Stegostoma tigrinum: one gene and its partners. The protein of the gene in region 2 binds, or shares a complex with, the protein of the main gene of each other region. Links are inferred from orthologs where the notes say so. Each region holds a gene or a part of one and is shown on either strand. Other genes may lie near its edges. The genes, in order: gins2, mcm3 and gins4.

Region 1 (7,822 bases), on a different chromosome or scaffold from region 2:
TATGTTCATCACCCTCCTTTGCCTGGCCAATCTTGTCCTCACTTTGAACTTTCTCCTTCAACTTCACTCACTTCCTTCAAATCAAAAGTGTCGCCACTGGTACACAAATGACCCACAGTCATGCGTGTCTCTTTGTGGGGTGTGTAAAACACTCCCTGTTCCAGTCCTGCTCAAGCATCTCCCTACAACTTTGCTGGTACATGGGTGACATTATTGGTACTGTTTCCTCTCTCATCCAAAACTGAAAACATTTATCAATTTTGCTTCCAATTTCTGCCCCACTCTCACCTTCACCTGGTCCATCTCTGACTCCTCCCTTCCTGTTTCCATTTCAGATGTTAGGTTGGCCAACAATATCCATTACAAACCAACTAACTCCCACAGTTATAAGAGATAATGGGAACTGTAGATGCTGGAGAATTCCAAGATAATAAAATGTGAGGCTGGATGAACACAGCAGGCCAAGCAGCATCTCAGGAGCACAAAAGCTGACGTTTCGGGCCTAGACCCTTCATCAGAGAGGGGGATGGGGAGAGGGAACTGGAATAAATAGGGAGAGAGGGGGAGGCGGACCGAAGATGGAGAGTAAAGAAGATAGGTGGAGAGGAGAGTATAGGTGGGGAGGTAGGGAGGGGATAGGTCAGTCCAGGGAAGACGGACAGGTCAAGGAGGTGGGATGAGGTTAGTAGGTAGCTGGGGGTGCGGCTTGGGTGGGAGGAAGGGATGGGTGAGAGGAAGAACCGGTTAGGGAGGCAGAGACAGGTTGGACTGGTTTTGGGATGCAGTGGGTGGGGGGGAAGAGCTGGGCTGGTTGTGTGGTGCAGTGGGGGGAGGGGACGAACTGGGCTGGTTTAGGGATGCAGTAGGGGAAGGGGAGATTTTGAAACTGGTGAAGTCCACATTGATACCATATGGCTGCAGGGTTCCCAGGCGGAATATGAGTTGCTGTTCCTGCAACCTTCGGGTGGCATCATTGTGGCAGTGCAGGAGGCCCATGATGGACATGTCATCTAGAGAATGGGAGGGGGAGTGGAAATGGTTTGCGACTGGGAGGTGCAGTTGTTTGTTGCGAACTGAGCGGAGGTGTTCTGCAAAGCGGTCCCCAAGCCTCTGCTTGGTTTCCCCAATGTAGAGGAAGCCGCACCGGGTACAGTGGATGCAGTATACCACATTGGCAGATGTGCAGGTGAACCTCTGCTTAATGTGGAATGTCATGTTGGGGCCTGGGATAGGGGTGAGGGAGGAGGTGTGGGGACAAGTGTAGCATTTCCTGCGGTTGCAGGGGAAGGTGCCGGGTGTGGTGGGGTTGGAGGGCAGTGTGGAGCGAACAAGGGAGTCACGGAGAGAGTGGTCTCTCCGGAAAGCAGACAGGGGAGGGGATGGAAAAATGTCTTGGGTGGTGGGGTCGGATTGTAAATGGCGTAAGTGTCGGAGGATGATGCGTTGTATCCGGAGGTTGGTAGGGTGGTGTGTGAGAACGAGGGGGATCCTCTTAGGGCGGTTGTGGCGGGGGCGGGGTGTGAGGGATGTGTTGCGGGAAATATGGGAGACGCGGTCAAGGGCGTTCTCGATCACTGTGGGGGGAAAGTTGCGGTCCTTAAAGAACTTGGACATCTGGGATGTGCGGGAGTGGAATGTCTTATCGTGGGAGCAGATGCGGCGGAGGGTGGAGGAATTGGGAATAGGGGATGAAATTTTTGCATCTCAACAAAGATAGGGACCACTGGTTCTCACTTTCCGATTCACCGGTATCCGCATCCATAAGATCATAAGCTGCCATTTCTGCCACGTCTAGTTGAATGTCACCACTCAATACATATTCCCTCCCCTCTTTTGTCAGCTTTCTGCAGGGACCGTCCCAGCTGGGACATCCTGGCCCACTCCTCCTCCACTCCCACCATGTCCTCACATGCCCACGGCACCTTCCGCTAAAACTGCCAAAGGTGTAACACCTGCCCATTTACCTCCTCACTATCCAAGAGTCCACACACAGATGAAGCAGTATTTTACCTGTATTTCGACAATCTAGTCTACTGCATTCTCTGCTCACAATGTGATCACCCACACACTGGGGAGACAAAACACAGACTGAGCAACTGTTTTGCTCAACACCTACTTTCTTTCAATAAAAATGGCCTCAAGCTTCCAGTTGGCCGCCACTTTGACATACCACTGTGTTCCCTGGCCAATATCTTTGTCTCAGGCTTGCTGCATTGCTTCAGCAAGGCTCACCGCAAGCTGGAAAAACAGCATTTCATTGGCTGCTCAAGCAGCGCCCCCCCCCCCGGAGCCTTGAGGACTCGATATCGAATAAAGCCTGAACATCTTCTTCAATATCCTTTATCCACCCCTACAACCCAGGTCTGTCATGATAAGGGCTGCTTTCAGCACTGCCAACTCAATTTTACTCACTTATGGACCCCTTCATCAGCTTTTGATCGAGTTGTACAGTACAGAAACAGGCCCTTCAGTCCGACTTGGCCAACCGACCAGACATCCCTGTCTGACCTTGTCCCATTTGCCAGCATTTGGCCCATATCACTCGAAGCCCTTTCTATGCATGTACCCACCCGGTAAATATTTTAAATGTTGTATTTGTACACACCTCCACTACTTTCTTTGGCAGCTCATTCCATACATGCACCACCCTTTGTGTGAAAAAGTTACCCTCCAGGTTGTTTTTTAAATCCGCCCCTCTCACCTTAAACCTTTTCCCTCTAGTTTTGACTCCCCTACCCAGGGAGAAAAACCTTGATTATTCATCCTATTCATGCCCCTCATGATTTTACAAGTCTGTATAAGGTCACCTCTCAGCCTCTGATGCTCCAGAGAAAACAGCCCCAGCCTATTCAACCCGTCCCTATAGCTCAAACCCTCCAACTCAGCAACATCTTTGTAAATCTTTTCTCAAGTTTAGCAACATCCTTCCTAAAGAAGGGCAACCAGAATATACATTTTCTCCTTGCCTGGCTTACTATCATCAATCGCTTTTTCTCCTTAACTATCTGTCTCTCTCTCTCTCTCTCTCTCTCGAGTCTACCTCCATCAATGATTTTGAAGAAAACATGAACTGCAGATGCTATCTTCTTACTCCTTTAGCTTCCTCTCCCCGCCCATCTCTTCAGGTTATAAACAACTTTTCCCAACATCCATTGTTTCTATTCTGTTTTTGTCTCCACTGATGCTGTCAGACCTGCTGGGTTTCTCCATCAATTTCTGTTTTTACTTTAGACAACGTAAACATTAAGCTTGTTGGCAAAGGGGGAAGGCCTTGCAAGCAAGGGGCACGGCTTGCAACGGGGGACTGTCAAGGGGCGGAGTCTGTGCCTTGATTGGCGTAGTCTGTTACTAAGGAGGCATGGTCTTTATTCAAATAGGCCGAGCCTGAAGTGTATGGACAGGGAATGTCCTTCAAGGACCGCACCTTCCCCCCCCACAGTGGTCAAGAGTGCCCTTGACTGTGCTTCCCGCATTTCCCGGACCTCATCCCTCGCAATAACCTCCATAAGAGAATCCCCCAGTCCTCACGTACCAGCCCACCAACCTCCAGACACAATGCATCATCCTCCGACACTTCCGCCATCTACAATCCGACCCCACCACCTAAGACATTTTTCCTACCCCACCCTTGTCTGCCTTCCGCGACTCCCTTGTCCGCTCCACGCTCCCCTCCAATCCCACCACACCCGGCACTTTCCCCTGCAACCGCAGGAAGTGCTACACCTGCCCCCACATCTTCTCCCTCACCTCCATCCCAGGCCCCAACATGACTTTCCACATTAAGCAGATGTTCACCTGCACATCCGCCAATGTGGTATACTGTAACCACTGTAGCCGGTGTGGCTTCCTCTACATTGGGGAAAACAAGCGGAGGCTTGGGGACCGCTTTGCAGAACACCTCCGCTCGGTTCGCCATAAACAACTTCACCTCCCAGTCGAGAACCATTTCCACTCCCCCTCCCATTCTTTAGATGACATGTCCATCATGGGCCTCCTGCAGTGCCACAATGATGCCACCCGAAGGTTGCAGGAACAGCGACTCATATTCCGCTTGGGAACCCTGCAGCCCAATGGTATCAATGTGGACTTCACCAGTTTCAAAATCTCCCCTTCCCCTACTGCATCACAAAACCAGCCTAGTTCTTCCCCTCCACCCACTGCATCCCAAAACCAGCCCAGTTCTTCCCCTCCACCCACTGCATCCCAAAACCAGCCCAGCCTGTCTCTGCCTCCCTAACCTGTTCTTCTTCTCACCCATCCCTTCCTCCCACCTCAAGACGCACCTCCATTTCCTACCAACGAACCTCATCCCGCCTCCCTGACCTCTCCCCTCCCCACCTAAACTCTCCTCTCCACCTATCTTCTCCTGTGTCCATCTTCGGTCCGCCTCCCCCTCTCTCCCTATTTATTTCAGAATCCTCTCCCCATCCCCCTCTCTGATGAAGGATCTAGGCCCGAAACGTCAGCTTTTGTGCTCCTAAGACGCTGCTTGGCCTGCTGTGTTCATCCAGCCTCACACTTTGTTATCTCGGATTCTCCAACATCTGCAGTTCCCAACATCTGTGGGATAGGGAATGTAGTGCAGTCAGTGGGCGGGACGTGGCCGGGAACGGTGGGGATCGTAGTCAGGGGCGGGCTCCGTCGTCAAGGGGCGGATCCCTACTCGGGGCGGGGTGACCGTTGTTAGAGGCGGGGTCCGTTGTCAAGGGGCTGGGTCTGTTGTTACGGGGGCTGGGTCAGTTGTCGCGGGGGCGGGGTCTGTTGTCAAGGGGGCCGGGCCAGTTGTCAAAGGGCCGGCTGAGTGACATCACCCCTATTTCCGGTGGTGTTTGCGCGGGAAGCTGTCTCAGGCTTCAGGCGGGTGATTTAAACCCGGGAGCGAGCGGTTAAATGCGGCAATGGACCCTTCAGAAGTGGAGTTTCTCGCAGAGAAGCAGATTGTGACTATTATTCCCAACTTCAGCTTGGATAAAATCTATTTAATAACTGTGAGTGTGTTTTGTCAAGTTGCCCCCTCTTGTGGCTCATGGGCTATGATTTATATTTTAAAGCATTTTACACATGGAGCAAGTTTAAACTAAAAGGCCAGAGATTTATAATCAATGATAATAAATTATGTGTAACAAGTGCTGTAGAGTTGGAGGAAATATTTTCCTACAGCCTGTTGTTATTGGGATCAACAAAAATGTAAAATGTTTAGAGCAAGAGATCTCTGATTGTCTTCAGATTAATTTGGATCATTCCAAATCACACTGACTGACTGACTGACTGACTTTTTTCAAAAAAGGTTTGTGACTTGAAATGTAAACAAGGAAGCTCCACGTCTTGAAACATTTTAATCCTTATACTTGCTCCTAATAATAGACAATAATTAGGCAAGTGCAAATTGACAAGTTTGAAATCCAAAATTAAACAAAGGGCTGCTGATGCTGAAGATCTGAAACAAAAAACAGAAATTGCTGGAGAAGCAGAGCAGGCTCCAAACATAGCCTGGTATGCCATAGTGCTTCGCTTGGAGAAGAATTTGTTAAGTGTGCAGAAGAAAATTTACCTCTTCAGAATATGGATGTACTTACTAGAGAAATAGCAAAAATTAGTCCTTCTCTTGGGAAATAAGGCAGGTGACAGTGGGAGCTACTTTGGGGCCAGTGATCATAATTCTATTAGTCTATAAGGTTTTGGAGTAGATTTGTAGTTCGGGTTGTGGATGTTGTGGCTGGCTCGCTGAGCTGGTTCTTTGTTTTTCTGCAGATGTTTCATTACCCCGCTGGGTAACTTCATCAGTGTCTCTGATGAAGTACCGTTGTGTTTTCCCACCTGGTTTTTAAACTGGAGTCCGTTGAGCTGGATTACCTCATTTCTGGTTTTCCTTTGCAATGGCGTGTATATGGGGTCAAGTTCTCTGTGTTTGTTGATGGCTTTCTTCTTGGAGTATCAGGCTTCTAGGAATTGGAAAAGGATAGAACTGATCTAAAAGTTGAAGGTCTAAATTGGAGTAAGGCCACTTTTGATGGTATAAGGCAAGAACTTTCAAAAGTTAATTTGGATGTGGATATTTGCAGATAAAGGGATGGCTGGAAAGTGGAAAGCCTTCAAAAATGAGATAACGATAGTCTAGCAAAAGTATGTTCCACTCAGGGTGAAGGTTGGTGGGTGTAGGGAATGCTGGATGACTAGAGAAATTTAAGTTCTGGTCAAGGAAAAGAACGAAGCATATGTCAAGCGTAGACCGCAGGGATCAAATGAATCCCTGGATAAATACAAGAGCAGTAGGAGTAAACTTAAGAGGGAAATCAGGGCAAAAAGGAGAAATAAGATAGCTTTGGCAAGTAGGGCTTAGGATTACCTAAAGGGGTTCTACAAATACATGAAGGACAAAAGAGTAACTAGGGAGAGAATGGGGCCCCTTAAAGTTCAGCAAGGCCACCTATGTTTGGAACTGCAGGAGATGGGTGAGATACTAAATGAGTACTTTGCATCAGTGTTTGGTGTGGAGGAGGATATGGAAGCTAGACAACTTGGGGAGATAAATAGCAATATCTTGAAGTGTCCATATTACAGAGGAGGAGGTGCTAGATGTCTTAAAATGCATAAAGGTGGATAAATCCCTAGAACCTGATCAGGTGTGCCCAAAACTTTGTGGGAAGCTTGGGAAGCCATTTGCTGAGATATTTGTATCTCGGATAGCCACGGGTGAGGTCCCTGAAGACTGGAGGTTGCTACCATGCTGCCGTTATTTAAGAAAGGTGGTGAGGAAAAGCCAGGGAATTATAGACCACTGAGCCTGACATCAGTGGTGGGCAAGTTTTTGGAGGGAATTCTGAGGGAGAGGGATTTACATGTATTTGGAAAGGCAAATACTAATTAGGGATAGTCAACATAGCTTTGTGCATGGGAAATCATGCCTCACTAACTTGATTGAGTTTTTTGAAGACGTGATGAAGAGGTTTGACAAAGGCAGTGTGATGCGTAGTGTCTGAATGGACTTTTTAAGCCATTCGACAAGGCTCTGACTGGTAGACTGGTTAACAAGGTTGGAACACATAAATACAGGAAGAAGTAAACATTTGAATACAAAATTGGCTTGAAGGTAGGAGACAAAAGGGTGTTGGTGGAAAATGCTTTTCAGACTGCGGGCCTGTGACCAGCAGTGTACTGCAAGGATTGGTGCTGTGTCCACTGCTTTCTGTCATTTATAAAAATTACTTGGATGTGAACATAGGAGGTATGGTTAGTGATTTTGCAGATGACATCAAAATTGGTTGTGTAATGAACAGCAAAGTGGGTTATCTGAGAGTAACGGAACCTTGATCCGATAGGCCAATGAGCCAAGGAGTGGTAGATAGAGTTTAATTTAGATAAATATGAGATGCTACATTTTGGTAGAGCAAATCAAGGCAGGACTTGTACAGTAAATGGCAAGGCCCTGGGGACTGTTGCCAACAAAGAGACCTTGGGATGCAGCTTCATAATTCCTTGAAAGTGGAGTCACAGGTAGACAGGGTAGTGAAGAAAGTGTTTGGTACACTTACCTTCATTGGTCAGAGCATTGAGTATTGGAGTTGGGAGGTCATATTCTGCCTCCACAGTACATTGGTTAGGCCACTTTTGAAATACTGTGTTCCATCCTGGTCTCCCTGCTATAGTCAAGATACTGTGAAACTTGAAAGGGTTCCAAAAAGATTTAAAAGAATGTTGCCAGGATTGGGGAGTTTGAACTGCTGGGAGGGGCTGTTTTCCCTGGAGCATCAGACGCTGAGGGGTGACTTCATAGAGGTTTATAAAATCATGAGGAGTTTGGTAAGGTGACTAGTCAAGGTCT
Region 2 (7,714 bases):
AGTATTCAGTTTAAGATTACCACAGGTGAACAGTTCTCACAATACACCATTAAGTTACAAGCTGTCTATTAACAACCTCATTTTCCTCAATCAATGAGAACCAACTGCAAGGAGTGTTCGCCGAAGTCACGAACAAAACAAAATGCAAACACAGAGCAGCACCCAGTCTCACCCAATCAGACTCACATTTGATCACAATTCCCTCCACACACACAACGTTGCTGAGAAACCGAGAGGTCAAGGTCCGTGGGCTGACATGGTTGGATCCAAAGCTGCCTTCCAGTCCAATGTAGAAATCCTCAAATTGCTTGGCATAGGTGGCATCAATTGAGGCAACAAAGTCCTTTAGCGCTCGCTGGAAGGCCAGGAGTTCTTCAAAGGAATTGCTCAGCAGTCTGAGAAAATTAGACAAAGGTTAACTGGCTCAGTGTATCTGCAACAGGTTTTCAAATGTTAAAGATATACTACCTCAACCCCCAGTGGTGAGGGAAGTAAGGGTCAGTAACAAGAGATGACAGATTTAGAATGATAAAAGAACCAAGGGCACATGAGGAGGTTTCTTTTAAGAGAAAAGTGAGCTTTGACGTGGAATGCACTCAAAGGTGATGCCTACAGATTCAGTGATAGCTCCAAAAAGATATCTATTCAATGTTTGCAGGATGGTGGTGACAGAGCTGACTACTGTGGCTTAATGGATTGATCCTTTAAAGAGCAGGGGCTGAATTGTCTCCAGGGGTGCTGTACCTCTCTTGGAACAAGAGATTGGAACATCCATATCAATCCAACAACATACACTTCATGATCATTCCGCCACCTCGAGCACATTTAAAATATGTTTCAAACAGATGAGAAAGTTCCTCACTCAGGGGATTGAGTCTCTCTGGAGTTTGTTTTACTTCCCCCCTAACTATTCACAGGATGTGGACACTGCTGGTTTGGCCAACATTTATTGTCCATTTCTAAATGCCATGGAGAAAAGTGTCAGAAAGCTGCCCAAGAGAGCATGAACTGCTTTGTTATGTACTGAGATGGAGTAATGGAATATGAAACCCTGATAAGAAAAAGTGGCAGTTGATAATGAAAATCAATTATTATCGCACTGAACAGCAGAGCATGCTCAGGCACACTAAAGTCCTATTTAGCAAGATTTTTAACATCAGGCAAGAGCAGTATACAGTAAAGGGGGACTGTGGAAGTGAAGTGGGTTCAGGTTAGACAAGTGAGCAAGGTACTTGTTTCAGAGATAGTAGGAACAGCAGATGCTGGAGAATCTGAGATAACAAGGTGTAGAGCTGGATGAACACAGCAGGCCAAGCAGCATCAGAGGAGCAGGAAAGCCGATGTTTCGGGCCTAGACGCATTTCTGAAGAAGGGTGTAGGCCTGAAACATCAACTGTCCTGCTCCTCTGATGCTGCTTGACCTGCTGTGTCCATCCAGCTCCACACCTTGTTATCTGAGCAAGGTACTTACTGTGTCGCTCTTTTCTCATTCTTCCTGCGCAGGTCATTGATGTTGACAATCAGTCGGTACAAGTTGTCACTGATCATGTCCCTCACCTTACTTTGGTAAATCCCCTGGTCTTGCTGTTGGCAAGAATGCAAAAAACCTTAGCCCGAAATTCTTTCAACTGGTCCTTTACTCTTTAAAAGCTTATCAAAGCAACTGATTAAATCACCATCAGGGATATAACCATCTCTGATGTAGGTGACCGCTTTCAAGTTGGACTGATTTGGTTATGTCAGGGGCAGCTTCACCCAAGAACAGGTGCACAATTAATAAAATAAAAACAAAATGCTGTTGAACCGTGGCAGGTCTGGCAGCATCTTTGGAACCACTGTTTTTTTGAAATTCACTTGTAAGATATAGGCATTACTGGCCAGGCCAGCATTTACTGCCTGTCCCTAGTGGTCCTTGAGAAGGTGTTGGTGAGCTGCCCTCTTAAACTGCTGCAAATCACATGCTGTAGGTTCTCTTGAATAAGATATCAGACACAAAATGTTAATGCTGCCAGACCTGCTGAGTTTTTTCAACACTCTGTTTACATTTCTGGTCTCTTTGCATGTTGGTTTCAGCATGGTGACAGAATAACTCAGAATCTTTCTGAGGCTGGGATAGACAGCTACTTGATAAGCGAGGAGAGAAGAAGTGTTTATGCAGGTAGCCGGGAAAAAAAAGCAATCTGATCAGCATTGATGTTGCTGAAAGACAGAGCCAGATTGAGGGATTGAGTGGCCTCCTCTGCTCCTCGTTTGTGTGCACTCATGTATACTTCATTTCAAACATTCATTTTGAGTCAAATTATGAACCAAGGGAAGCAGGTGTCAGGTAAACACCGCTGGATGTTGCTTGGCAACTGGGAAGGGATACAGGAATAAAAATCAGAAGGCAGGAGCCCTGGATGAAGTGTCACCGGATTCAACGCATTAACTCTGCTTTCATCCCACGGATGTACTCAGCCTTTTGAGTTTCAAATTCGGTTTCTGTTCGTCTTAGATCTGCAGCAGCTGTACTTGTTTGTTTTACTTCAAGCTAGGAGACGGTCAAAAGGGTCACCTGAAGCACAACAGAAGTGAGTGGAGGGTTGTGAAATGGGGTGGGGGCGTGCAAGTGGAACGGCAAGTAGCGGGGGGAGGAGGGTGAGGTGGCGAGTGGAAGTGGGGGGGGCGATGAGGGTCGGGGAGGGGGGTGAAGGGGATGGTTTGTGTGGGGTATAAGGGAGGGGAAGTGGGCATGGGGGAGGGGCTGGGTAAGGGGAGTCGAAATGGGGGAGTGGTGTGCAAAGTGGGGTGGAAGGGTCAGGGTGAACAAGGCGGACGGGCCGAGTGGTCGCACCCTCCCGGGGAGGGGTATAGGAAACACATGCCCATGGAGTAGGGTAGGCACCCAGCCCAGTACCCCGCACCCCCCCCCAAACTCATCGCCGGCGTTGACCCCTATTCCCCCACAGCCCCCACCTCATCATCCAGAAAGTCCAGATATTGTCTCTGAGCCTCCCTCAGAGCCGGATCCTCCACCGCTGCCATTTTCACCGCCGCCGCTTTCCCGCCAAACTGAGTCACGTGGGACCGGCTTCCGCGCGAAAAACCCCGGACCAATCGGAGAATGCACCGCGGTCACATTGACACGCACTGCCCCGCCCCGTCACCGCCAGCCCAGGCCTCATGGACACAGACCCCGCCCGCTTCCAGGAGATAGGGTCCGCCCCCTTGGACGTAGGGTCCGCCTTATGGGCACTGAAGCCGAGACTGAACGCTTGGCCCCGCCCTTGGATACAGGGCCCGCCCCTTGGTCACTGTATCATGTCCCTTGTGCGACGGCCACGCCCCTGAACACTGGCTCCGCCCCCGACGTTGATCTCTCCTCCACGGCATTGGCCCGGCCCTGGCCATAGACCACGCCTCTGAGACGGACCCCGCCCCGGTCTCTGGTTCCGCCTATTTAAAGGGACTAACGCAACAAAGGATCCGAGTCTCCCTGTAATCAAATGCGATAGATGCTTTCAAAGTCAGAGTTAAAGGGTTGTAATGGTCAGGGGTTTCACGTTTCTAATAATAGACTAGGTCTGCCTTAGTCAGAAGTCACACGACACCAGGTTACAGCCCAATATGTTTAAGTGAAATCTCTTTTTTTATTGCAAAAAGCTACATTTTATTCATAAAGTTTGTATACATACACTGACACAAAAACAGTTCAGACAGAATGGGAACTGCAGACGCTGGAGAATCCAAGATAGCAAAGTGTGGAGCTGGATGAACGCAGCAGGCCAAACAGCATCTTAGGAGTTCTGCACAGCTGCATGTCAACAAAATACAAAACATTGGATAAAAATAGAACTACGGACGCTGTAAATCAGGAACAAAAAAAAAGTTGCTGGAAAAGTTCAGCAGGTCTGGCAGCATCTGTGAAGGACAAAACAGAGGTAACATTTTGCGTCTGGTAGGTCACTGGTGGCCTACTGGACCCAAACGTTAACTCTGTTTTCTCCTTCACAGATGTTGCCAGACCTACTGAGCTTCTCCAGCAACTTTGTTTTTGTTCCTGTACAAAACATTGCAGTTTGACTGTACGCAAATTCAAAGACTGCTCACACATACAATACCAATATTCACAAATATTTGGCACACTGGGAGGATCCATTAACTGAATGGACTCTCATTTATCTTCAGCAGGAAGACTTCAGACCATGCTCTTCCCCCACGACACTTTGACAGCAGCTTCCCCAAGCTTTAGTGTGCATCCCTCAGCACATAATCCTGGACCTTGGAATGTGCCAGTCTGCAACACTCGGTCAGGATCAACAAGGTCCGTGCGTACCTGTAGCCCAACGGGCCACTAAAAAATGGCAGTATTGGATAATACACCAAACATGCTGGGAAATCAAGCCAAGCATTGGCTGAAGCATCTGTGCAAAGATACTGAAATAAACAACCTATAGACGCAGACAGGCAGGCTGCAGCTGCAGGTGGTACAATTTGCAATTGATTAAGCCTATTTACCAGGACAATAGAAAATAATGAGCTGTTTCCAGAATAAAGGGACACCTCAGTCTGATATCTGGGAAGCCTACCTGATTTATGTACCCCTAACACTTTCAGAAATGGAAGACCAAAGGCCACACCACCATTTGCATGGTACTGTCTGATTGGGTCTGATCAATCAGGGTAATTGATTCTTGATTGATCCATTGCTGGGAATCAAAGATTCTCCCAAAAGGTTGCAGAGGCTTCCAAGGACAAGAATCACTGCAACAGCACCCTTGGGAGCAGTAACCTGAGACCAACTGCTGTAAGGGCACCTCTGCCCTTGGAATCACTGGAAGATGAAGACCAGATGCCCATCACCATGTGTATTAAAGCCAAGGTTTAGTGTGGTGATATTTGATCATTCCAAATTAAGTTAAATTACAAGATTCTGATTTAGATTTCCAGTATTACTTGCCAGATTTATTGTATTAATTGTTAGTTTGTAGCATAATTGTTATTATGGTATTATAGTTAATAAAGATCATTTCATGTCACTACTTAGAGTCCACTCACAGTCCTTTGTGGGATATATGGGCGAAACACCGTGTGGCGAGTGCAAAAAACCAAAGAGCAGCTTTCACTGAGTTGATGGTCCTTCAGGTACAGGTGATGTTTATTGCAGTGAGCATCCCAGGGAACAGATCTAGGACATTAATCCCCAAGTCTGTTTAAACGTGTCCAAATCCATTCAGGTTCTTCCCCCACCACATGTAACAGCCAGATTGTGGACATGATCTGTCCAAATTTGTCCAGAAGCCAGAATTGAGCTGTCCAAGTCCATCCAGATCCCAGACAAGCCCCCGAATTCTTATGGAGGGAGAATGGCTGATCTCTGCTGATATTTAGACCAAAACACAAGCCCCAATCAGTTATGATGGGAGTAGAGGTTCCCTTCTAATAATTACCCCCAAAACTCCCAGAGAAGCTCACCTTTCCCCTCATATTCTGTTAAAAGAGTGATTAAAAGAAAGAAAATCCCTGATCCACAAGAAAAAAAGTTATTTATTCAACTCTAACAATGAACAAATTAAGAGAAGTACTAACAAACTGAACGATTCCCCTCCCCCCAGACTAACTATTCCCTTAATAAACTAAATTCTAATAGAATGCTATTCAATAAACACAAGTCCCACTTATATAAACCCACTTAATAACGCAGTAATAAATTAAAACATAGTCTGTCCAAGTTTGTGTAAGCTGTGTCTTCTGGAACGCTCTGCCTTCCTGATTATGCCACAAATGTCTTTCGTGTGGACTTGTTGGGCCAAAGGGCCTGTTTCCACACTGAAGGGAATCTAATCTTTCACTGATTCTGCTGTCAGGGATGTTTTTCTCTGTAATTGCTTCTGTGAGTTTTTTTTTAGCTAGAAATGCCGTGGTACTGTTTTAGGATAGATGGTGCTTCATCTAATACATAGATGATTCTGACAATCAATTTCTCTCTCTCTCTTTCTCTCTCTCTCTCTCTCAAGTGGTCGATGCTGTCAACACCACCAGATTTAAATTTGACAATATTTTAGTATCTAAGGACTTAGTTTAAATTAATTGGCTAAATTTGAAAAGACTTGTTGTCTTGGTGAAATGCTGCTTGACAAACGTCTGAAAACTAACCTTCCAGCTCAGCGAGCAATCTCACATCCAGAACCTCAACCTGAGCTACAAATCTTCTCAAAACATGCTGCTTGACTGTTTAATACAAAATGTTTCAATTCGGAAGCTCTTTCTGTGTGCACCTCCACTTCAAGGTGCTTGTCAGTCATCCATTTTAACTCTAAGCACTGAAAAACAACAATCTTTTAAAAGAATGACACATTTTACAATTTTACTCACACCAACTTCACAACACTTTCAAGACATTTACCCAAAGATCAGAGGCTGAATGTCCTTGACTGCTAAAATATTCTGCCACTGGGAGGGAAGATTCCTGTCTGGCGATTGTTGCACAGTGTCCATTCATCTGTTATTGTACACTGAGGGGTGACCTTATAGAGTTTATAAAACCATTAGGGGCATGGATAGGGAGAATTACCAATGTCTTTTTCCTCAGAGTAAGGAAATCCAAAACTAGAGGCCATAAGTTTAAGGTGGGGGGGGGGGGGGGTAAGATTTAAAAGAGACCTGAGTGGCAACTTTTTCATACAGACAGTTGTGCATGTATGGAATAAGCTGCCAGAGGAGGTGGTGGAGCCTGGCACAATTACAATATTTCAAAGGCATCTGGATGGGTACATGAACAGGAAGGGTTTAGAGGGATGCGGGCTGAATTCAGGAAAGAGATAGAGTGCTTAACAGCATATGTAAAGACAACAATCTCTCCATCACCAGCAGCAAAATGAAGAAGCTGGTCATTGACTTCACAAAGTGGAATGGAGGACACAGACCTGTTTTCATCAGCGATGCTGAGGTAGCAATGTTCGAGAGTTTTAATTTCCTGGGAGTGACTGACAATCACCAACAATCTGCCCTAGTTCACCCACATTGGTGTGACAGACAAGAAAGTGTACCAATGCCTCTACTTCCTCAGATAGCTAGAGAAATTCAGCATGCCCACAAGGGCTCTTACCAATTTTTATAGAGGCACCATAGAAAGCATTCTGTCCGAAAGCACCATAGCTTTGTGTGGCAACCACTCGGCCCAAAACTGCGAGAAATTATAGACAATTGTGAATGCAGCCCAGTCCATTTCAAAAGCCAACCTTCCTTCAAATGACTCTGTCTATACCTCCTGATACCTCAGGAAAGCAACCAACATAATCAAAGATACTTCCTATCCTTCCATCTTCTTCTACCCACTTCCATTCAGCAGAAGATATAAAGGTTTGAACACAAGCACGGGCAGATTCGAGAACAGCTTCTTCTCTGACTTTTGAACATTATCTTGACTCCATGCTCTCTCCACTTTTCCAGACCCTTCCTACCTACATCCGCAATTCCTCTGATGCCCTCTGCAATATTGACAATTTTCAGTTTCATGGTCCTAACTGCCTCCTGTTCACCATTGGTGTCCAATCCCTCTATACGTCCTTATCCCACCAGGATGGTCTGAGAGCTCTCAGCTTCTTTTTCAACCAGAGGCCTGAACAATCCCCATCTACCACCACTCTCCTCAGAGCTTCTCTCACTGAAGAATTTCTCCCTTAATTTATCTCACTTCTGCCAAGTCAAAGGAGTGGCTATGAGCGCCAATTGG
Region 3 (7,994 bases), on a different chromosome or scaffold from region 2:
ACAGTCCTCTGCCATACAGCTGCTGTCACATTGAGAACACAACCAGCACCCGATTGTGTCATTCGGCCCACTGTACTGACACTGGCTCTGTCGTGAAATTCTCCAGTTTTAGACTCAGGCTATGCTCTTTCACCTCAAGCCCTGCAGATTCCTTTCTCTGTTTAAGCAGGAGTGCAGAGAGAAATCTGAGAACTACAGACCTGTGAGCCTGACTTCAGCGGTAGCTAAGCTGCTGGTGGCGATTCTGAAAGGTAGGATTTACATCCATTTGGAGATGCAAGAAATGACTGGGGATAGTCAGCATGGTTTAATGCGAGGGAAACTGTGTCTCACTAATTTAAGTTTTTTGAGGAAGTAACTAAGAAGATTGATGATGGCAGAGCAGTAGATATTGTTTACTTGGACTTTAGTAAAGCCTTTGACAAGGTTTTGCATGATCAACTAATTGGAAAAGTTATATCACATGAGATTCAGAGTGAGCTTGTCAATTGGAATCAAAATTGGCTTAATGTCAGGAGACAGAGTGGTGGTGGAGGGTTGTTTTTCAGACAGGGGGCCATGACCGGTGGTGTTCCACAGGGATCAGTACTGGGTCCACGTTTATTTGTCATTTATAGAAATGATTTTAAAGAGAATATAAAAGGCATCTTAAGTAAGTTTGTAGATGACACTAAAATTGGTGGTATAGTGAACAGTAAACAGGGTTATCCGAGATCACAAAGCAAGCTCGGTCAACTGGGCCAATGGGCTGAGGAATGGTAGATGGATTTTAACTTGGATAAATGCGAGGTATTGCACTTTTGGGCAGGACTTGTACAAATAATAGTAGGGCCTTGAGTAGTGTTGTAGGACAGAGGGATGCAGGTACATAATTTTTCAAAGCTCGCGTCACATGTACACATGATGGTTAAGGTGTTTAGCACAGCTGACTTCATTGTTTATGGTCTCCCTGTTATAGGAAGGATGTTATTGAGCTGGAGAGCGTTCAGAAGAGATTTCTCAGGATGTTGTCGGGAATGGAAGGTTTGAGTTATAAGGAGAAGCTGGATCGGCAAGGCCTTTTTTCACTGGAGCATAGGAGGTTGAGAGGTGAGCCATGACTGCAAAGTTGCGATTACCGTGAACCACTTTGCACTCAAAATGATTGGAACAAGGTCAGCCAGGTGGACCTCACAGAATATGACCTAGCTGACAGACATATACAGGAGTTTTAGGCATTCTGCTCACTCTAGGAGCTGGCTCTGAGCTAACCGGCTCAGTGTCATATACTATGCACGTGTAAATGAATGGTGACTTGGTGGTGGGATACTGGCCTTTGCGGAGTTAATTGCGTTATCCAGGACGTTGGGGAACTCTTGCTCCCCCTTGCTTTCACCATGTTGACATTGTAACCAGTCAGAATTGACATGCCAACTGATCAACTCCCTTTTCTCCCAAAAAAAGAAATCATTATGACTGTTTGAAACTCGGCATTCTGGCATACGTCCTGATGACTTGAGTAACTCAGCAAAAATCAATTTCTGCACTGCCAGGTAACTCCAGGACAGCAAATCGTTATCATCTCATTTGGCAGGGAAATCAGATTCTGGTCGTGCCCGTCAATCGCAAATTCAAAACTGCACCGAACAGGTGTCACCTCCTCTCCCCCAACGAAAAATACAAAACTGTTACCATGTGATCCAGCTGTTCCATGACACACTCCACAATTTCAGCCTTATGTTCAAGAAGGTCAGGGGAAAATTTCTCATTCAGCCACGCCTGTATAGAGATGAAAGACAGGCACGGACAGTAACTGTAAGAGGAGCAGACACAATCCCAAATTGAATATCACAGAGCGATCAAAACCTAGACTGCAGACAGATACAGTATTATTGTTTTACATATCAGGTATATTGATTCAATTTATGATTGTCACATGTATTGAGATACAGCAAAAAATACTGGTTAATGGGAGTAACCGGACACATCATAACTTCCATAAGTACATCAGGATAATCGAACATAATATAGTCCATGACCCCATTACTACCTCACTTTCTACACCCTCTGCAAAGTCTGAATGCGTGAAGATAGCACACCACCAAACACTGGAATCAATGTGAGATGTACAATTAAGTCTAGGAATTCCTGAGATAAATCTGACAGAGAAAACTCTCAGCCTCTGCTGTGCAGGGACAGGGTGGTCTCAGGAACAAACCAACAACAAGTGTCTACCAGCGAAAGGGATGCGTTGAAAACAAAATTCACAGGGTGTGGGTGTCACTGGCCGGGCCAGCATTTATTCACAGGCCTCGAGGTGGGTGTGAACCGCCTTGTTGAACCACTGGAGCCCATGGGGTGTAGGGGACGGTGCCCTCAGGGAGGGAGTTCCAGGGTTTCAGCGACACTGAAGGAACGGCCGATATGTTTCCCAAAGTCAGGGGGGAAATGAGGGGCTCAGAGGGTGAACCCGCTTGGGGGGCTGTTCCCATGTACCTGCTGCCCCTTGTCCTTCTGGATGGAAGTGGGTGGTGGGTTTGGAAGGTGCTGCCTGAGGGGCCTCGGTGAGTTGCTGAGGTCCATCTCGTAGACAGTACACACTGCTGTGACTCTGAGTGCTGGGGGTGGGGGAGTGGGATGGTTGAGGATGTGGCGCCAATCGAGTGGGGGGGGGGTTGCTCTGTCCCTGATGGTGTTGAGCTTCTCGACTGTTGTTGGAGCTGCCCCCATCCGGGGCGAGTGGGGGGTATTCCATCGCCCTCCTGACTTGTCGATGGTGGGACAGGGTCTGCGGGGAGTCAGGAGGAAAAGCCCGTGCTCAGTGTGGGATCTTACTGTGCAGCGACCAAGGCCTAACCCCACCTTCCCCCCTCACCTCCTCCAGCTTTGCAATGAGCTGCGCCGGGGTCAGGATCTCCTCCTCTTCCTCGTCGTCAAGGCCCTCTCCACCCACCATCACCTCCACGGACATGGTCACTCACGCAGACCCGAGGCTTCAACTGCAAACTCCCGCCACGGCCGCGACGTTTGGCGTCATCGCGCACGGGACCCGCCCCCATCGTTTACGTCACCGCGCAGCCCGACGCCTCGTGGACCCGCCTCCTGACTGACATCCGGACACACGTCCCGAACGCGGTAACCTCACCGCACCGCGAGGACGCCCGCTTCGCCGAACGTCTGACGTCATCGCGCAGACAAGGCCGCGTCCCCCACGCCGAACCCCTGTGACCATTGGAATCGTCGCCATCTTTCTTCCAGGCGGATGTAGCTGTCTGCAGCCTGACGAAGGGAAACTAGTCCAGCCCATCCCATTGCATTGTCCTTAAGTTTGTGTGTTGTTTTCCTTCGATTTGTTATCCCCCTGAACGTGACTGAATTGTGAATTTTTTTTAAAAAAACATAGAAAACTTAACTGTGTATCGACTTTTGTTTCTCTAAAACACTTCACGGTCATGCCGTGGGGGAGTGCAGGTTCAGATTTCTTTGGAGTGACAGGGAGACGGGGTAGTGAAGAAGGCGATGGTTCGCTTGTCTTTATCGGTCAGTGCATTGAGGAAAGGATAGACAAACAGGAGGCCAGAAGAACACAACAAGCCAGGCCCTCAGTCCTGAAGAAGGGTAATATCGGAAATGTTGACTTCTCCTTTCGTCCAGCTGCTGCCTGGCTTGCTGTGTTCTTCCAGCCTCCTGTTTGTCCACCTTGGATTCCAGATTCTAGTTTTTTTGTCTCTAACCATTGAGTATAGGACTGGGGGTGTCATGTTGCGGCTGTCCAGGACATTGGTTTGGCCACTTTTGGAACACTGCATTCAGTTCTGGTGTCTGTGCTGCAGCCAGTTGGACCGAAGGTTTTGTTTCCGTGCTGTACAGTTCTTCGGTTTTCTGATCACAACCTGATTTTCTGTAACCCTTCACCCTGAAATCTTAGGACAGGGTGACAATGAGAACCTTATTCCTCAAGTGATCTTTCAGCCAGTGGATAACTTTGCTGCTCATTAAATTAGGTCAAATTTGACATTATTCAATAATGTATATGGAGAGTGAAGAGAATTTTAGCAGAAGGAGCAGGCTGCAAATTATTATCTGGAATGTAGTGTCTCGAAGATAGAGAGAAGGTTCCTTTGATTCTTACAATGGCCATGAATGCAGGAACATATCCTCAATTGTGCCTAAGCGCAATCTCCTTCCTCAGTGTTTTAATACAGCTGTTTGCATTAAAACCTTACCCAAGTGGTTATGCATCATTCCTCACTGTGGAAAATGAATACGAGTACATTGCCCTTTGTTGCTATTGGCCACAGGCAATGACAGATTAGATTAAGAAGTAGACTGTCTCTGGCACTATGCAAACAAAAAGGATCATTTCTGTAATAGTCACATTTACAGTTCACCATTTCTCAGTGCTAACCTGTCCACTTTTCCTACAATAGTCAACATGAAACTTGGAAATAAACCACAGAAAAGTAAAATTCTGAAAATCCAGTCTTAAACCCTTTCACAAATGACCTTTTGGCATTAAAAATTAACACATTCAAATATGGAATCTTGAATTATAATTGCTGTTGGAGACTTGCCAAATGCAAAACTGAAAAAATCTCCCATTTTTAATCTATTCCTTTTGCCTATGTTCATCCATCCTTAGTTAGGCAAAAGGGAGATTCTGAATGCAAATCAATATTGTTTGGGAACCATTACAGTTAATTTTTATTTCGGTACTAGTGTATTACAAAGTGATAATTTCAGATAAAACCTTAGTATTATGGTCACGGATAAAGTGATTATAATGCTTGCTTGACCTTTAATGGCCAGCTGTCCAGTGCGTATGATCGATTTGCCAGACTCTTTTGTTAAGTACAGATTAAATGCTTATGTCTCTTTAGACACCACATCCTAGCTCACTGTCCTTAAATGCCACTCTATTTCAGCTTGGGCCTATCTTTGCAAGGTCAGAGAGGTGCTGTTCCCCCATGAAGGTCTGTCATCGAACGTCATCTTCCCTGTGCATACCTTCCTGTCTCCATCAAGAATAGGTTTTGCAAGTGGTTTCCTTGTAGAATCCTTACTGTGTGGAAGCTGGCTGTTTGGCCCATCAAGTCCGCAGGAAGAACATCCCACCCAGACCCCACCGTATCCCTGGCCTGTGCAGCCCTGGACACTACAACATGACCATTCCATATAACCTGCACATCATTGGAGTGTGTGAAGGAAGTGGCAGAAACCCCATGCAGACACAGGAAGAACATATAAACTCCACGTAAAGGGTGGATTCGAACCTGGGTCCCTGGCACTGTCAGGCAGCAATACTAACCACTGAGCCACTGTGCCGCTCCTGAGTCAGCTTCTCCGGTTCTTGAGTAGATTTGTAGCTCAGGTTGTGAATGCTGTGGTTCGTTCACTCGCTGAGCTGCTTCATTACTTAGCAGATGTTTCATTACCCTAAGCAGCAGACAGATTTAAGGTGATCGAAGATCCTGTAGCTCAAGCATTTTCAACAACTATAGGTCTCATTTTTTCCCTTAGCTCTACTTTCAAGATCCTTGCTTTCGTTTTCAATCCCTCTTGAGTCAGTAGTTGAGGAAACCCTGCTTAGTCTGGTGCATCTGCCACTAAATCCATCCCCTTCCACTTCCGAGACTTCAAGCACAGCCTGTCCAACGATCCATTTTGGAAACTAATTCTTCACCTGCTATCACTATTTTTTTTAAACAAGTAATTAGACTGGAGCTGCAGATGAACAGCTAAAAACTGTTTCGAGACAGTCAGAACTGCCGATGCTGGAGTCTGAGATAACACAATGTGGAACTGGATGAACACAGCAGGCCAGGCAGCATCGGAGGAGCAGGCAAGCTGACATTTCAGGTCAAGGTCCTTCTGCAGAAATGAAGGGCTGAAAACTGTTGATGTATCTGTTTACGGGATGTCTTCTAAATGCATAGAGAAGGGTTGAGAGTCAACTATATTGCTGCAAGTCCGGAGTCACACGTCAGCCAGACTGGGTAAGGATGGCAGTTTCCTTCCTTAAAGGACATCAGTGAACATGATGAGTTTTTGTTCATCATCAACGGACAATGGTTTGACTTGATTTATTGTTGTCACATGTACCTAAGCACAGTAAAAAGTTTTGTTTGCGAGCAGTAGGGGCAGATCGTAACATACAGACCACAGGGTGTTCAAACAAAGCATGGCATACAGGGTTACAGCTGTATAGGAGTGCACCGAAACACATTAGATTTGAAATTGGGGAGGTCCATTCAGCAGTCTAATAACAGCAGGGAAGAAGCTGTTCTAGAACCTGTTGGCATGCGTGTTTAAGCTTCTGTATCTTCTGCCTGACAGAAGAGATTGGAAGAGAGTAGAACTGGGGTTGGGATGTGGCGGGGGGCAGGGGGGTCTTCAATAACATCAGCTGCCTTTCCACAGCAATGAGAAATGTGGATGGGAGTCCATGGGTAGAAGGTTGGCTTCTGTGATGGTCTGGGCTTGCACACCACCTTCTGGTGTTTCTTATGGTCCTGGACGGAGCAGTTCCCATTACCAGGCTGTTATGCACCCGGACAGTGTGCTTTCAATGGTGCATCTGTGAATGTTGGTGAGGGTCCTCACGGACATGCTGAATTTCCTGAGCTGCCCGAGGAAGACGAGGTGCTGTTTTGCTTTCTTGACTGTCGCCTCTATGTGGGAAGTTCAGGACAAATTGTTGGTTATCAACGTTCGACATTAGATTAGATCTTCAGTCCAGCTTCTGTAACTGAACTAACATATCACTAGCTGCCATAGTCGGATTTGATCCCTTGTCCCCAGAGCATTCGTTTGGAGGGTCTGGATTGCAAAGACATTACCACTGTTCTTCTTTAAACAAATTACAGAATGCAGCCAGAATGTTTTGAACATAATTTGTCCAGATGCCCCACAGTGGTCAGATCACTACAAACACAAGCCAGTACCAAAGGAAAACAACCCCACTTTATTCGGAACGAAACTGCAATCAGCTTTAATGCTAAACATACTCTCTTTTATCCCATTTGGCCCCTTAATGTTACAACACTTTTTTGGGGATGTCTCTGTCCAGGATCACTGTTGCCTTTTACATTCGGCTCACGTCATCAGCACCAGGCTGCTGTGTTTGCCGTGTCCTCGTGATTTCAGAGTTTCACTTGGCCAATGCACTCAGCATCCATTGCTGTTTGACCAAGTTAGCAATTTATCAGCAGCCTCCTGGCCTGCTAAAAACACAATCTAATCCAAAAACAGCAGAGGGGAGAACAACCAGCCCCTTCCCTGGCACGCATCGAGACTAAGATCTTGGATCTTGACCGTCGGGGACACCAACCTCTGACCACCGACACACCTGCACACCACGTCCCCAGAGATCACAGGGGTCTCAGGCTGAAGTTCAAGCTGAGGAACAACAGCAGGTTTTATATGAAATACTAAGCAGGGAGTGCAACCACAAACCTTGTTTTAGACTGTGAAATATCAGGTGTAAGTGAAAAAGAGGCCTGATCCTTCCCAGATCATGTTATTAAAGTCATTCACCCCCTCCACATTGACCAAACCCACCCCCAAGGGCTAAATGAGGACACTTACAGGAGTAAGCACTTAACATATTTTTTTAAAAAAAGTCTTTATTTCTATTTGAAAAAGTACATGAATATTGTACAATGTCAAGTTCTTGAACAAAACACATTCAATGCAAACAGACGATCACAAGAGCACGTGTCACGATGACTTCAGACAAGCAGCAGGTTTAGAAGGATGGGGTGGAGAGGGAAGTGGGTCCTTCCTGGGATGTTCTCCGCGGGGTTCAGTGTCTACGCTACTCAAGACAAAGACAAACAACAAGCCACATAAATACCGCTCAGTGCAGTCTCGGTCCTGCCCAGATAATGCTCTCTGACGCTCAGAGCTGACAACGTTCCCCCATCTTCCGGCTCAGCACTGGCTCTTTCTGGGCCTGCCATTCACGGGGGTCACACACTCACTGAGTCTCTCCAAAGGAGCTCAGAACTGCCACC

What was found.
Region 1: mcm3 (region 2) and gins2 share a complex: the UniProt entries of both Homo sapiens proteins name them as parts of the CMG helicase complex. The link is inferred for Stegostoma tigrinum from reciprocal best matches to the Homo sapiens genes MCM3 and GINS2.
Region 3: mcm3 (region 2) and gins4 share a complex: the UniProt entries of both Homo sapiens proteins name them as parts of the CMG helicase complex. The link is inferred for Stegostoma tigrinum from reciprocal best matches to the Homo sapiens genes MCM3 and GINS4.

The regions. Positions count from the first base shown.
Region 1 is NC_081369.1:52,205,151-52,212,972, forward strand, and holds the start of gins2 (DNA replication complex GINS protein PSF2), read left to right. Parts: upstream 1-4,816; 5' UTR 4,817-4,898; coding exon 4,899-4,988; intron 4,989-7,822. UniProt on the Homo sapiens protein: Required for correct functioning of the GINS complex, a complex that plays an essential role in the initiation of DNA replication, and progression of DNA replication forks.
Region 2 is NC_081362.1:96,837,962-96,845,675, reverse strand, and holds the start of mcm3 (DNA replication licensing factor MCM3), read right to left. Parts: upstream 3,066-7,714; 5' UTR 3,025-3,065; coding exon 2,956-3,024; intron 1,585-2,955; coding exon 1,472-1,584; intron 396-1,471; coding exon 187-395; intron 1-186. UniProt on the Homo sapiens protein: Acts as a component of the MCM2-7 complex (MCM complex) which is the replicative helicase essential for 'once per cell cycle' DNA replication initiation and elongation in eukaryotic cells.
Region 3 is NC_081393.1:15,624,610-15,632,603, forward strand, and holds the start of gins4 (DNA replication complex GINS protein SLD5), read right to left. Parts: upstream 3,028-7,994; 5' UTR 2,951-3,027; coding exon 2,855-2,950; intron 1,759-2,854; coding exon 1,672-1,758; intron 1-1,671. UniProt on the Homo sapiens protein: Required for correct functioning of the GINS complex, a complex that plays an essential role in the initiation of DNA replication, and progression of DNA replication forks.